Linked DNA regions of Lonchura striata. The protein of the gene in region 1 purifies or fractionates together with the protein of each later gene. This does not show direct contact. Links are inferred from orthologs where the notes say so. Each region holds a gene or a part of one and is shown on either strand. Other genes may lie near its edges. The genes, in order: ASB9 and CUL5.

Region 1 (8,150 bases):
TCCTTGCTTAAGAAAAGACAGGTTTCCACTGAAACTCTAAAAAGAGCCAGACCAGCCATCTGTAGACTGGACATTGGCTTGCAAGTTTCCAAGTTTTAACAATGAATTAAAAGATTGACCATATAGGCATTAAAAATAAATGTCAGTAAAAAATAAAAGAGATATGTGCTGACACGTAATCTATCTGGGAGTTCCGTAACTGAGAGAAACCTAGAGTTTTATCCTAGGTGGAAGTGGAGCCCTATGGAGCCCTAGGGAGTCTGTCACACCAGCCTTGGACACCTTGGGAGGAGCAGGATTAAAGGCCTGACTGATGACTAATTGGGATGACATAATTCCAGATCTGCTGCCATGAACTGCACAGCCTCAGGCTGATGTTTCTCCTGCCCTACCTCCATCTGCAGCAAGCACTTCTAACCTGAAGCAGTGCCAGGAAGGCATTGGAATGGAGGCCCTTGGAAAAGATGGCAAATTTCTTCAGTTTCTTAACCCCAGGCATCACCTTCTCACAAATAACCATATTTCTTTTTTCTGCCTGCTCCAGGCTGGAACTCAAGGTCCTTGCCTGGAAGAGGAGAAAGGCTGCAGTAATTTCCATGTCTCACTGCCCTCTTTTACACTTCACAGGAGGCACACTATCAGAATATAAAAGATGTGTATTGTATTTGATTAAGGCCTAAGCAAATGTCAATTCTAGTTGATTATGGGCTTTCAAAATCCCGAACTAGTGATTTTCATGAATGTGCCCAGAGCACTCTGCATATGGACTAGCAAGGCCAGTGTGTGTGGGGGATGCAGTGGTTCATTGTATGTACCACCACCAAAACAAGGATTCCTGATTGTCAAAAATAGTACAGCTGCTCTTTCACAAAGAAACAAGATAATTTGTCCAAATTTGAAATTTACCCACACCTTAGTCCACAGGGAGTCTGAGTCAGACCCCAGTAGTTTAGCTAGACATCTAAATCCCACTGGCTTTCAGTGGCTTTGGGTCACCTCCCCTTCCACTGCAGAAAACTCCAGCCAGCCCAGAGGTTACATTAAACCCCTGGTCATATTTGAGCACTGCCATCACTCAGGCATGTGACACTGGCAGGGTGGTGTATACAGAGGGAGTCTTATAGCAATAACCATGTACACATGCAAAATCTGACTGCTCCCTGTGCACAACAGAGCTCTCACAGGACCTTTCTAGAGCACTGGTTTTTGTTGTGATGGCTGAAGCAACTTTTTGCAGCCTCTGACCATGTGAGGGCATTGCACATGGTGCCTGTGCCTGTCCCCAGGCTGGTTTCTTCCCATGCCTCTCACATACAGCACAACTTGAAAGGGGCTCTTAAGTCCTCCTAGTGAAGGTGTGCTCTTGCATTCATATTTTCAGATACAAAATCCTATGGCATTATATAGAACAGTATTACAAATTGTATTTTCCATACTCAAAGGCTGTCCCTTAAAGTTTGTGATCTACATAGCTTGAGCTAAACACATTCCTGCTGGAAATTGCGAGCAGAGCTTATTGACTCTGCTAAGGAACAGGCAGACACAAAAGGAATGGACTAAACTTTGATTTTCAAAGGACCAAATGATCTGTGTGCAGCATTGTGCCATGTGGGATTCCGTCCTTCCACCCTCCATTTTGCTGGAGCTCATCTCCAGTGTGGACTGGTTCTATTTCACACAGTTAATGGTATCACTGTGCCTTCCTGCTCAGCCCAGCCTCAGGCTGTACATACATGGCACACACGGGGGCAGGCAGACTACACTGCAGATAGACTGGTCAGCCCTGCATTTTGGCTTTATGGTCTTAATTTTCAACTTAGTGTTAATGGAAGCATCCTGAACAGCCCAGAAAAAGAGCAAGGATAGCATAGTCACATTTTCTGAATTTACCTCATTCCATCTGCACTCGCCATTAGAGGAAGGAGTAACTTAACAGAAACAGAGCTACAGCGAACACATCCAGCTCAGGATACAAAGTTTAATTACTTGTCTTTTTTTTACCATGTCATATTTTCAATGGCTCTGGGCCAGACACAGAGCAATGACCAGAGTGAGGCCATTTGTCTGAGTAACTGCTCACTATTATGTGCCCACAACAGCACTGGTCACAGCAATGCCACTGAAGAAGAGCCCAGTAGGCTCAGCCTAAACAACACTTAGGTCTGTTCATCTGAAAGACAAGGGGAAAGGATAAAAGATAAAGAAAAAAAGGATAAAGAAGAAGAAAGATAAAAATGAAAAAAAAAAATTAAAATAATTAAAAGGAAGGAGAAAAAGAAGGAAAGTAAGGAGGAAGGGAATGAAAAAAGAAAGAAAAAAAGAAAGAAAAAAGAAAGAAAAATAAAAAGAAAAAATAAAAGAAAGAAAAAGAAAAAAAAAAGAAAAAAGAAAAAGAAAAAGAAAAAGAAAAAGAAAAAGAAAAAGAAAAAGAAAAAGAAAAAGAAAAAGAAAAAGAAAAAGAAAAAGAAAAAGAAAGAAAAAGAAGGAATTGAGCTACTGCTGAGCTTCCTGCTGGCACTAATTTAAGTCAAACACGCCACATTTCAACTTATTTCTCAGTGTGCTGCAGTCCAAGTGCTGCTACATTTATTTCTGCTTGCACAAACTGCAGTACAAAACCAACCACTCTCTTCTATGACACGAAAAAGAAACAACCAAAATTTCAGTATCAAACAGAAATAGCTTTTTTTTCCACGAAGTCGTGGGGGTGTTTTGTGGGACCGGGTGAGGAGCTGTCCTGAAGCAGGACCCGGGGAGCAGCAGCACCGCAGCCCCCGCTGCCCTCCGGCAGGGCTGAGGCTTGTGCCGGGCAGGAGCGTCACTCACCCCTCATCAGCGGGCTCCACGGAGTCGCTGCAGATGCCCGGCCTCCAGCTCCTTGCAGTTTGCTGGCATTTTGATTCGTTCTCTCATCATCCATCTCAGCCCTGCCTGCCCAGCCGCTGTCTTTTCACTCTGTGGCTGGTTTCCAGAGTTCAAATTCCATGTTCCCCGGCGAGCCCGCAGCGGCCGGAGCGCTCTCCGGAGCGGACCCCGCACGCATGAGCCGAGCAGCGCCGGCGGCAGCTCGGAGCGCGCAGAGCCGAGCGCCGGGGCTGCGATTTGACAAAGCTGCTCCCGGGCTGCCCTGCTCGGCAGCCAGAGACCCAGCCAAGCCAGAGATGTGCCTGATGTCACATCCTCTCCAACGAGACGCCCAATCGGGGCGCCCGCCGCTCTTTTTTATCAGGAAGGAAATTCTTAGTTTGCCAAAAAAAAACAAGACAGAAAGAGCCAGTTCGACTAGTTGAACAAACTCTGCCTTCAGGGGATGCGCAGAGAGAGCCGGCAGAGCTAGGGCAGGCAGAGAATAGGGCAGGGAGAGAACAGGGCAGGGAGAGCCGGCAGAGCCAGGGCAGGCAGAGAATAGGGCAGGGAGAGAACAGGGCAGGGAGAGCCGGGACAGGGAGAGCCGGGACAGGCAGAGAACAGGACAGGGAGAGAACAGGACAGGCAGAGCCGGGGCAGGCAGAGCCGGGACAGGCAGAGAACAGGACAGGCAGAGAACAGGACAGGGAGAGAACAGGACAGGCAGAGCCGGGACAGGGAGAGAACAGGACAGGCAGAGCCGGGACAGGCAGAGCCAGGACAGGCAGAGAACAGGACAGGCAGAGCCAGGACAGGCAGAGAACAGGACAGGCAGAGCCGGGACAGGCAGAGCCGGGACAGGCAGAGAACAGGACAGGCAGAGCCAGGACAGGCAGAGAACAGGACAGGCAGAGCCGGGACAGGCAGAGCCGGGACAGGCAGAGAACAGGACAGGCAGAGAACAGGACAGGGAGAGAACAGGACAGGGAGAGCTGGGACAGGCAGAGAACAGGACAGGCAGAGCCGGGACAGGCAGAGAACAGGACAGGCAGAGAACTGGACAGGCAGAGAACAGGGCAGGGAGAGCTGGGACAGGCAGAGAACAGGACAGGCAGAGAACTGGACAGGCAGAGAACAGGGCAGGGAGAGCTGGGACAGGCAGAGAACAGGACAGGCAGAGCCGGGACAGGCAGAGCCAGGACAGGCAGAGAACAGGACAGGCAGAGAACAGGACAGGCAGAGAACAGGGCAGGCAGAGTGTCTGTTTTGCAAAAGTTCTGTTCTCACAGGTCATCTCTATTTAAAATATTTTCCTTCCCAGTACAGTATAATTTACAAGCACAAAATCCTTTTTCTGTCACTGAATATTTGCGCATTTGTGTTCAAGTGGAAGTAGGCTTCTACTTATGTTCAAGTAGAATTTCCATGCAAATTCTAAACCATGTAATGTTTTTCTTTTTTTTCTTTTTTTTTTTTTTTTGTCCTGTATGGCTACTAGAGCAAAATTTGTGTTTGTGTATTTGAGGATTTGAAGTTGCTTATAGTATTTTGATTCTGATCCTAACTTAGCTGAGCCTAAGAAACTTGGTTTTAATTTTATTTCTTTCTGTAATGTATGCAAGAAATCTGGAATAATATTTAGGGTTTCTTTGTCCATATCTTTAAAAATAATAATTTATATTAAAAGATGCAAACAGCAGCTGAACATCATCCACACACTTTGCCAACAGGGAATCTGTGACAGCAGCCTGGGCACAGATGAGGACAGGGCCAGCCCTTTCCATGGCACTTCTTGCTGAATGCAGCATGGCCTCCCATGCTGGATACAAGCTTTGATCTCCCTGAAAATTACATTTGTGTCTTAGCCAAACTGGTGTGGGAAAAATGTGTAAACAGAGAACGTGGTGTATGTAGGTATTGTTTCTGAGGATTAACATGTAAAAAGAATGAAAAAAACCCATTTTTTTCTCTTTAGTGTTACTTGATTTTAGAGGTTAGGTTGCCCCTTTTCATGATTGATCATATTGCTGGCAGATCTAGTATTAACAACCATTTCAACAATTCCACCACCAAAAGGAATCCGTGTATGAAACCAAATGTGCAAGCTCAGAGCTGTGTTATCTTCTCTGATGACCAAGAAGGTAAATGCAGTAATGACCAGTGAGACCTGGTGCCTCAGGAAGTTTGCAGATTTGAATGAATTTGAATGGTGCAGTTGATATTCCTTAAGGACAGGATGCAACCGCTGGGGACCTGGACAAGCTTGAGGAGTGGGCCCATGAGCACCTCCTGAGGTTCAACAAATCCAAGTGCAAGGTGCTGCACCTGAGTCAGGGTGATCCCAGACATGAGCACAGAAGACAAGGGAGGAGAAGTCACTGAGGGCAGCCCTGCAGAGAAGGACCTGGGGGTTCCTGTGGATGAAAAGCTGGACATGAGCCCACAGTGTGCGCTTGCAGCCCAGGAGGCCCAAGGCACCCTGGGCTGCATCCAAAGCAGCCCAGCCAGCAGGTCCAGGGAAGGGGATTCTCCCCCTCTACTTTGCCCTCATGAGACCCTACCAGGAGTCCTGCATCCTACTGTGGGGTCCAGCACCATAAAAACATGGATTTGTTAGAGCAGGTGCAAAGGAGGAGCACAAAGATGCTCAGAGAGCTGAAGCACCTCTCCCATGAAGACAGGCTGAGAGAGCTGGACTTGATCAGCCTGGAGAAGAGGAGGCTTTAGAGAGGCCTTGCTGTAGTCTTCCAGTACCTTAGGGTGCTTATAAAAAGGAGGGAGAGAGACTTCTTACATGAGCAGATCATTCCAGACCAAATGTCAATGGATTTAGATTGAAAATTTAGATTTATATTAGATGCTAGGAAGAAATTCTTTGCTCACAGACTTGTGAGGTGCTGGAAATGTTGCCCTGGGAGGCTGTGAATGCCTCATCCCTGGAAGCATTCAAGGCCAGATTAGATGGTACTCTGAGCAACCTGATCTAGAGTGGCAGCCCTGCTCATGGCAGGGGCCTGGGACTAGATGAACTTTAAGGTCCCTTCCAGCCCAATCCAGTCTGTTGTGACAGCTGTGCTCCTCTGAGCTACATTTCAGATGCCCTTATGCTGACATGCAGCCAGATTACAGCAGAGAGTAACTAGAAAACACACAGATCCTGAGTTTGACAGACATAAATTATCTCCTGAGCTCTTGCTTCAGCTAGCAATTCAGGCATACCTACAGAGGCAGTGTGTGGCTTTGGCCTGGTGATCACCTTAATATTATTTAACCATCTATAGCCACTCTACTTCTTAAGCATCATTTTGATGTGAATGGAATCATCAAACTAAATTAAACTCCCCAAATAACACATCCCAAAACCAGGGGATTCCTATAGGTTGTTCTCAGCCTTGCTGAGAGCTGGAATATGCAAGAAGGCTTTGATTAATTTAATCTCTTTTGTTGCTGATCTTTTATGTAAGCAAGCAAAAAATTCTCCAGTAAAAAGGGAACATTTTAACATCAACCTGGATCTCAAGATAAACAACACAGAACTTCAAATACAGATTAGAAACAGCTTACACAACACAGAGACACACCAGAGCTTTTAAGCATTACAATATTATTTTCCATTTAAGTAGCAAATACATCCCTAAGTTCTACATAAACAGGCCTAGTACAGAAATTACTTTATCCTTATTCAAGTGCAGCCATCCTTGGTGCATAGAAGTGCACAATAAAGTGGAATCAACAACAGTTAATATTACTTTTTTCTATTTACATCATGTCTTATAAAAGGAATATTTTCTTTTTCCTCCTTCAAAAAAAAATCTACATTTTTTGTAATTCAATGGACTGTTCTACTGTCTTGGTTCTTTTTTATTTCCAGTTGTTAATCAATTTTTTAACTTGTCCAGATAACTTTTATACCAATTTTATTACTATTAGCACAAATATTGCTTCAAAAACGAAAATACACTACTGGTAAATCTGTCTTGGTATGAAAATTGACCCTTGGTTTCTGAGGATGCAAATCACAGAATTACAGGAAATGTTTGGAAAATTGGACACAAAACATAATTTAACTTCAATTAACTTAAATTTAGTCCAACTGAAGTTCAATTTAACTTCAGAATCAGGGTGAGAAATCCTAGCTTTTCCTTAGCATTAATGAAGAAACATAGGCACTTTCAAACCATGCTTTGTCTCACCTACTTTAGATGCTTGCTCTGGGGGAGCACATATTGAATATTAGAGTCAGTCTTCACCAACTGTAAAAGGGATCCCTAAACCATGAGCAGAGAATTAGGTGGAATTAGATGTGTATGTGTAAACAGCTGAAACCCGCTTTGAAATATGGGTGAACTGACAGCCAGGGGTCCCAGCTCTGACACCCCTGAGTGCTGCCATGTGCCTTGTCCTGCACAGCCTCTGGGTGCTGCAGCTCAGGGTGAAGCATCTTCAGCCCAGACAAAAGCCAGCATTGCCCAGTGCCTGAACCACAGAGCCTCAACTTTGGAGTGCCTGTATCTCAGAGCAGGGTTTTGACAGACAATTCTGACAGATTTATCTGCATTGATCCAAGCTATTGCTCCCAACTCTCAGCAGAGATTACCCAGTACCAGGGATGGCAGCACTGGCCACAAAGTGATGCCACAGCTGTCTCAGTACTGGGCCATCGTGTCAGCTCAAAAACCTGTAAAAGCTGTTTTCTTCTACAGACTGTAAACTTGAGCTCTGAGACACTAGCACATGCCAGATCCTCCTCTAAGGCAGCAATTTCCAGTCAGCAAGCAAGGCACACATCTGGGACAGCCATGTTTTAAATCACAGCAGTTAAATCTGCCAGAGCTTGCCCACAGGAGTACTAAAGCACTGGTGTCATTTCCAGAGGTACCTGGGTTTTCTTTGGAAAGCTGCTGCGAAATTCTTGAGCTGACACAAAGTGGAGAAGTTCGCCCTTGGAGAAATTAATCATACAGTCTGATTCTTGTATCCCTAATTTCCTTGCCTCAAATCAAGTCTCTCCTCCAGAGGCTTTCCTTCTTTTACAGTTTTTCTAACATGAAATGTTTCATTTTCCTTCCTCTCACCCTCACAGAAACTTCCCTTTGCAAACATCCCGTCAGCCTGGCTGGGGACCAGACAGACTTCTGCAAGTAAATGTTCCCTTCTGCAGGATGGCCAATTGACTTAGCAAGAGAGACTCTAAATTGAAACAAAAAAACCTTGAAGAAAGCTTCAGACACATCTCAGTTGCATTCTGGCTACATCAGTAGCACCTGGATCTGTGCTCTTATTCATTGCAGATGTGGAGAAGC
Region 2 (7,073 bases), about 56 Mb from region 1:
GCCATTGTTATTAACAGAAAAGGTGATGTGAAGCCCAGATAGAAAACACCAGAAGTGTTTGCTTACCTGTTGAAATGGAAACAAACACAGAAGTCTGGTCACTGACAGTGCTTCTTTTTTCAGCTATAGGTAGATATCTGAGTGTTCTTGCCCTTTTAAAAGGATTGTCTTTAGTCACTCACAGTACGTTTTGTGCATGGGTTCGTTGTGACAATCCACAGCAGTGATAAACAAGAATTTCCAATTGAAAGAAAAACTAAGTCTTAGTATCCCTACTGAATATAACTAGATTGATGGGAGAAGAGTTTAAAATGGACTAATCAACCATCACATTTTTCCCTTCATGAACTAAGATTAGAAGAAACTATTTTCATCTTACTGGTTTCAGGTCATTAGAACAGATCATAGAAATACATATTCCTCTCTGATGCAACTCATTCAAAGCTTGGAATCACTGTACTCCAAAATATATAGAATATTATGATGATATGAGTTTCACTCATCATCCAAATCTTAATGAGCTGTTCCTTGCAAATCACTTTGAAGCAGTGCATGTCTGGGATTGTGATTCCCTCTGCCTTTTACAATCCATGCAAAGGATTAAAACTGTAGACCAGTGTAGTACCAATCAGTAATTAATATCTTCATTAACAGCAGAATTGAATAATAATCCATCTGTAATAGAATTAAAGTAAATAAAACAATATTGTGTAACACTGAGCACTGCAGAAACACCCTGAAGTGGTACTAACATCCTACAAATCCTTAAGATTCACAGATGTCTTTGCTTCCCAGAAAATTCGTGTACAGATCTTCAGGGGGAAAAAACCCAAACAATTACAGTCATTGTATAAACCATGTAAAATGAGATACTCACTATTTTCAATATCAGTAAAAAGTACCAGCATTTCCTTGTCTCTCTGCTTCTCAGATGTTCAAGTTCTCTTTATTCCTTGGCTAACCTATTTATAAGTATTTCACAAGAGCATATTGGGGCAGGATGCACAAACTCTCATACCCAGAACAGTCACTGCTGACCCATCCAGGCTAGCAGCGTGTTACACGATATCTGTCAGGTGCCTAAGGGGACTTAGACCAGACCATGAAAAGTACACTGGTGCTATTGAATTCTGTGTACTCACACATTTTTGCGCCAACACTTGGTAAGTTTGGATGCAATAAAGAAACAGTTGGAATAAAACAATTAAAATTAAATAGAATTATTAGAAATAAGCAATCACAATAGAATATGATGATCTCATTTTGAATAACTGTATCCAACAAAACAATGGAATTGACAAAACTGATTTGTTTTTTTAATATAACAATTGAATAACACGATTAATGAATTGAAATAAACAGATCAGAATAAAACTATTGAAATAAAACAATTGGAATATTTTTAATTTAACAATTGAATAAAAAATTAATCTAAATAAATCAGAATAAAACTATTGAAATAAAACAATTAGAATAAAATAATTGAAATAGCAACTTTTAACCTAGTTCAGATTTAAATGAGAATAATTGAAAATCAGATAATTGAAATAGAATGAAATAATTAGTAGAATTGAAACAGAATAACTGAAATAGAATAATTTAAATCACACCTGTCAAATTTAAATAATTAAATTGAATTATTGGAATTAAATAATTAAACAAATTTTGTTAAGTAGAACAATTGAATAAAATAATTAAATAATTAAATTGAATTATTGGAATTAAATAATTAAATTGGACAAATTTAGTCTAGTAAAACAATTCTAAAACAATTGATAAACAATTAAAATGTAGAATTAAATTTTAAAATGTAGAATTTTAAATGTAGAATTAAATTTTAAAAATTTAAATTAAAATGTAGAATTAAAATTGATAAAACAATTAAAATGTAGAATCAAAATAAAACTAAACTATTAGAATACCATATGAATCTAACAGAAACAACTAAATAAAACAATCTGAATAGATTACAATAAAAAGATCAAACAAAATTTAACTATTAATGATCCAAAATGCCAAATTGGAATTCTCGCAATTGAAATAAATACAATGAACAAAAAAAATTAAATAATCCAATAAAACAAACAATCTTTAGAGACAAAAAACAATAAAAGAACTCACTATAACTGACAACAAGATTCCAATCACAACTAAGTCACACATATAAATAAATTGTATTTCTTATAATTTAATGATAAGGACCACAAACTTAAGCACAGCTAACAAGACGGCCACCAGGGCCCTCTGTCAGTCTTAGACCCCCCTTGGTCCACCTCCTTCTGTATCAATCAATGCCTGCCTGTTACGGCTCCCCCTCCCTTTCAGCCCAGTCACAAAATGGGTCCTCTGAGCCACCACTGATTCGCACTCAAAATGGCACCTCAGAGCTGTCAGCACCACTCACCCCAAAATTAAAATTAAACTTTTTACTTATTCCAAAAAAATAGTTAGTACCAACTAAATGAAAGTAGTCTTGAACTCAAACATAAAAATTAGCAGCTTATAAATTTTAATACCTCTGCTTTCAAACTAACAGTACAATATGCAGAAATTCTCTCTCTCTAACTAAATGCTTTTAAATTCACTTTCCCTGTCTGGTGAGTGGTCTGGGGACTCTTGGCCACCATCCATCCCAGAACCTCACTATACTGGTGCTCCCACCTTCCACACTCACACAATTAACTCGGCTGGAAACAGTTAAACAATAACCATTTGTATCCCAAATAATCAGTATCTAAAAAGCAATTATACCAACAAATTACATCCAGGTAGTCCTGGACTCGAAAGTAAAAACTACGTAACTGAAGTACCACGTAAAAGAAAAATAGAAATTATAAATTACCTGCCTATGGTAGGTAGGTTCTACTCTCCCTGACCCAGGCTAGGAGGAGATCCCAACCCCCGACTCCAGCTCCTAATGAGCTGAACGGCCTCTCCTAGCTGGCCACTCTCACTTTGAGTCACCAGGCCAGGAGGATCCCCTAACTCCCCTTTCATGGCTGAAACCAGATGCGTCCACCTGCCCAGTCCACCCCGTGCAGGACCAGGTGCGAACACCACCCCGTGCGCCCTGCCATGTGGAGAGTTAGGGTCCTGCCCATACCCCAAGCTGGGACTCCATTCTCCCTGCTACTTAAAAGGAGGACATTCCCTAACCGGTGGCTCCCTGTCATTGTTCCAACCTCCCTGCTCAATCAGGGCCATCCTAGAGCAGAGGATTGTGTCCAGACAGTTCTTGAATTCTCCAGTGAGAGAGACTCCACAACTGCTTTGGGCAATCTGTTCCAGTGCTCGGGCATCTTCACAGTAAAGAAGTTCCTCCTTATGTTCAGGTAGAACTTCCGTGCCCATCGTCTCTCCTTCCAGTTGCTGCGCACCACTGAGAAGAGCCTGGCCATTCTCCTGACACCCTTCCTGCAGATGCTTACACACTTAATAATTCTGTAAATAGAACATTCGTGACATCTGGCACGAAGCGTGGCGGCTTAGCTGGATGGGCGTAGGGCAGGGAATTGGCTTGTCGGCACACGGCTCAGTGCGGGTGGCCGTGCGGGTGTGCCCGCGGTGCTCCCCGATCCCTCCGCCAGGGCGTGCGGAGGTCTGCGCCGCAGCACCCGCAGGGACAGCACGGCGGGACGGCCGGGGCTAGTCAGTCAGTCAGTCAGTCAGTCAGTCAGTCAGTCAGTTAGTTAGTTAGTTAGTTAGTTAGTTAGTTAGTTAGTTAGTAGTCAAGTTGTTTCTGCGCTTGCGGGCCACAGCGCCCCGTCCCGCCGAACGCGGGGCCCCGTGCCGAGCCCCGCCCCGCGGCGCCGGGCGGCGCGGCGGCGGGCCGGCAGGGGGCGCTGCAGGCGGGCCGCGGCCGCGCGGGGCGGCGGGGCCGCTCCCAGCGCCGCATCATGTGGGCCCGGCCCCTTCCATGGAGCCGCGGCCGCCGAGCGCCGCCCGGGCGGACGCTGCCATGAGGCTCTGAGGGCGGCTGCGTGCCGAGCACCCGGCCGGTCCCAGCCGCTGCCGGGCTCCCTGAGCCTCGCCGCGGGACAAGGAAGCCTAACGCTGAGGCCGCCGCCGCTGCTGCCGCTGCCGCCGCGGGTCCGGCCGGGCGGGCGAGCGGCCCGGGGCCATGTAAAGCGGCAGCGGCCGGTGGGAGCCGAGCCGAGCTCGAGCAGAGAAACCGCCGTGGCCGGCCGGGAAGGCCCCGCAGTGGGGATCATGGCGACGTCTAATCTCCTAAAGGTGAGAGCGGAGCCCGGCCGAGTCCTGCGGGAGGAGGGGGGAGGCGGCGGGGCCGGGCGGCCCTGCGCTGGCCGGGCCGGGCAGGGCAGCGGGGCCGGGGGCAGGGCCTGGCGCGGGCCGCGGGTGCCGCTGGCCGGGGTTGCCGCTCCAGGGCCCGCCCGCAGGTGAGCGGCCTTGGGCTGCCGGCCCGGCCCGGCCCCGCCGGCAGCTGCTGCCTGCTGCCGGCCCGCGATCCCTGCCCCCGGCTCTCCCTTCCCAAACACGCCCCGTTGGGAAACACCGCTGCGTCGTGCGGATAGACAGGGCACCGTGTCTTCTCTTTGTTTATTTAAGAAAATCCGGGTGTACGGGAGATGAGTTTTAAGTTAAACAAAGAGTTGGAAAATGTCTTTGCCGAGGGCAGGTGCCGTTATTGGGGTGCCCACCGTGTTCCAGTTTTTTTGTTAACTGCAGTTTTCCTGCAAAGGAGAACTCCCGGAGGCCTTTCACTTACGTTAAGCAGCTTTGCTTTTGTAGTCATATGTTTTCAAGCACTTTCCTGGCGTTTGATGGCAGATGTCAGTCACCCCAGGCTCCTACAGGTTGGAACGGAAGATTTCAGTGGGACAGTCCAGTGTTAGAGTTCAGGACTGCCTGTCCTGATCTTTGTGGTATGTATGAGGAGAAGACTCTGTGTGGCCTTTGAGGCCATGCTAGCACAGGGAAGACGGGCCTACTTGAAACCACTGTTATTAGTGCCTACAGTAAGTGTTTCTAAACCACCAGTTAACTACAGTGCTAAGATAGGCCTAGGGCAGGCTGTCTGCTTGAGGGATTGACAATTGAAGATATATATAAATATAGGCATAAACATATGTTCATTACTGCATGTTATAGTTCAGTATGGTCCTGGAAAAGTGCTGCTTGCATTTTACTAACCTGACCTAATTTGGATGCATAGATTTAGCCTGAATCTGCTGGTTTTATTTATTACTCTGGGACATTCATTGTGAAGAAATGAGAACTAATTTATCCCTTTGTCTCTTCAGGATATTAAAAAAACTCTATATTAAAAAGAAATGTTTAAAAAAAATCTTCCTTGAAATTGAAATTATTTTGAATTCATTCCTGTATAGTTTTATGCCTGTAAGAAGTTGTTAGATATTTAAGCAGATAATACTTCAAAATACTTAAAAATCTAAAACTGAGGAACCTAAGAATACAGGCGAAAAAAATATCTCATAAGAAGAAATATTCTTTTTGTGGAAATGCATGTGTTCAGAGCAGGTCTCAGTTTTATCCACTTGTTAATGTTTTAGATCATCTCTTTTCTGTGCATTTGAGGATTTCTCAAAAGTCCAGCACATGCTCTGATGATACATGTGATGGGATAGCCCACAGCAGATAGGAGAAACATAAGCCGTAAGATTTGTCAGCATTCCACTTCAGCTATTTTGAAAGAGCAGTAAAGAGGCCTTGACTTGGTGCGATGTCCCTTGCCAAACTGAAGTCTTTTTGTTAACTGGTCATGATTTTGCCATTGGCCTTTGAGTCGTCAGTGTTTTATATTGACAATAAGATATATATGTGCAGTGTGTTTAAGGAAAAATGCCGCAGAGATGTCTTGTAAAATAGGCATTTCTGGTCACTCAAAGTGTTACTAAGCATTTAGTTTACTAATTAGTCAGTTTTTCAATGACAATAAAGTATGATTCCCACATTACAGAAGGAAAGATTATGCAGTGATTTGACTTGGTTTATAATGGCAAGATAAACTAGTGTGAGAATTAGAAATAGGTAAGGTGTTTTGTTCCCCAATTCCATTTGTCAGAGTGCTCTCTGAGAAGCAAACTGTTCATTCCAGGTCAGTGTTCCCTGGCAGTGCCTTGTGCCCTCTGAGTCTGTCCAACCTACTTCTGCTTTCATCTTTAAATGGGGAAAAAAACAATGTCTGGGCACAGTAAAAATCCCAGGATAAGGAAGGAGAGGTGTTAAAATCTGAAAGTTTTTTTCATATCTGTTTCAAATAAGCCTGCATAATCAAATCTATGTTGGGTATAGACAGGCCTTAGTTTTGCCAGCATGAGCAGGACCTGAGTATCTTCTTTTGTTTTCCCCCATCCAGCTTTCCGCATAGTTGAGACAATGAAGTGAAATATTCCTTTCTGATTCTATTAACAGATAGTAGCTGAATCGAAATCTGACTGGCCATCATAATTTTTGAGGGTGTCATTTAAACTCCACTAGTGCTTAATTTTCCTAATTGTAAATTCTTTTCTGAAAAGCATATTCTTGGAGAGCCTTCTTTAAATGCAAAATTAGAATGAGCAGTCGTGTTGAATCCTAGTGAGACAGAGCAAACTGTAATGTGATGGAAATGCTTAGTAAGAGCCATTACAGGGTCAGCTGGTGCCTGCCTTACCTGTAGCAGAGCTGCTCTCCCTCGCTGAGGCAGTGGCTTTCTGATAGGTGACCAAGCCATTTCCAGCGGAGTCCCTAGAGTTTTTTGTCTCAACACACATGTGACACTTCTAAAGTGGGATACTTCATTTCAGGGGCCCTGTAGGATTATAACTTGTTCTCTTTGCAGTGATGATACAGTCTAAACCAATTCACCCATGTGACATGAAGACATTTCAGTTTTTCTGAAGTTTGTTGAACAGAAGAGACGTTAGCTTATTGTAGCACAAAGAAAACCTATAGCTGTATCCATGCTGGCAGATCTTGCTATTGTAGGGCCTTACTGGAGCTGCCAGCAAATGCAGGAGTCTATCCTTGCAAGATGAACTGCACTATGAGCCTGATATTAGGAAAGAAGCAACAGTTTTTCCTTGAGCTTAAATTATATGAGAATCACTGCT

Evidence for each region.
Region 2: the proteins of ASB9 (region 1) and CUL5 purify together in Homo sapiens (affinity purification with mass spectrometry; 6 studies listed by BioGRID and IntAct, counting the BioPlex papers as one, with this or other methods). This does not show direct contact. The link is inferred for Lonchura striata from reciprocal best matches to the Homo sapiens genes ASB9 and CUL5.

The regions. Positions count from the first base shown.
Region 1 is NC_134604.1:100,010,076-100,018,225, forward strand, and holds the start of ASB9 (ankyrin repeat and SOCS box protein 9), read right to left. Parts: upstream 3,156-8,150; 5' UTR 2,921-3,155; coding exon 2,827-2,920; intron 1-2,826. UniProt on the Homo sapiens protein: Substrate-recognition component of a cullin-5-RING E3 ubiquitin-protein ligase complex (ECS complex, also named CRL5 complex), which mediates the ubiquitination and subsequent proteasomal degradation of target proteins.
Region 2 is NC_134604.1:44,394,362-44,401,434, forward strand, and holds the start of CUL5 (cullin-5), read left to right. Parts: upstream 1-3,962; 5' UTR 3,963-4,209; coding exon 4,210-4,233; intron 4,234-7,073. UniProt on the Homo sapiens protein: Core component of multiple cullin-5-RING E3 ubiquitin-protein ligase complexes (ECS complexes, also named CRL5 complexes), which mediate the ubiquitination and subsequent proteasomal degradation of target proteins.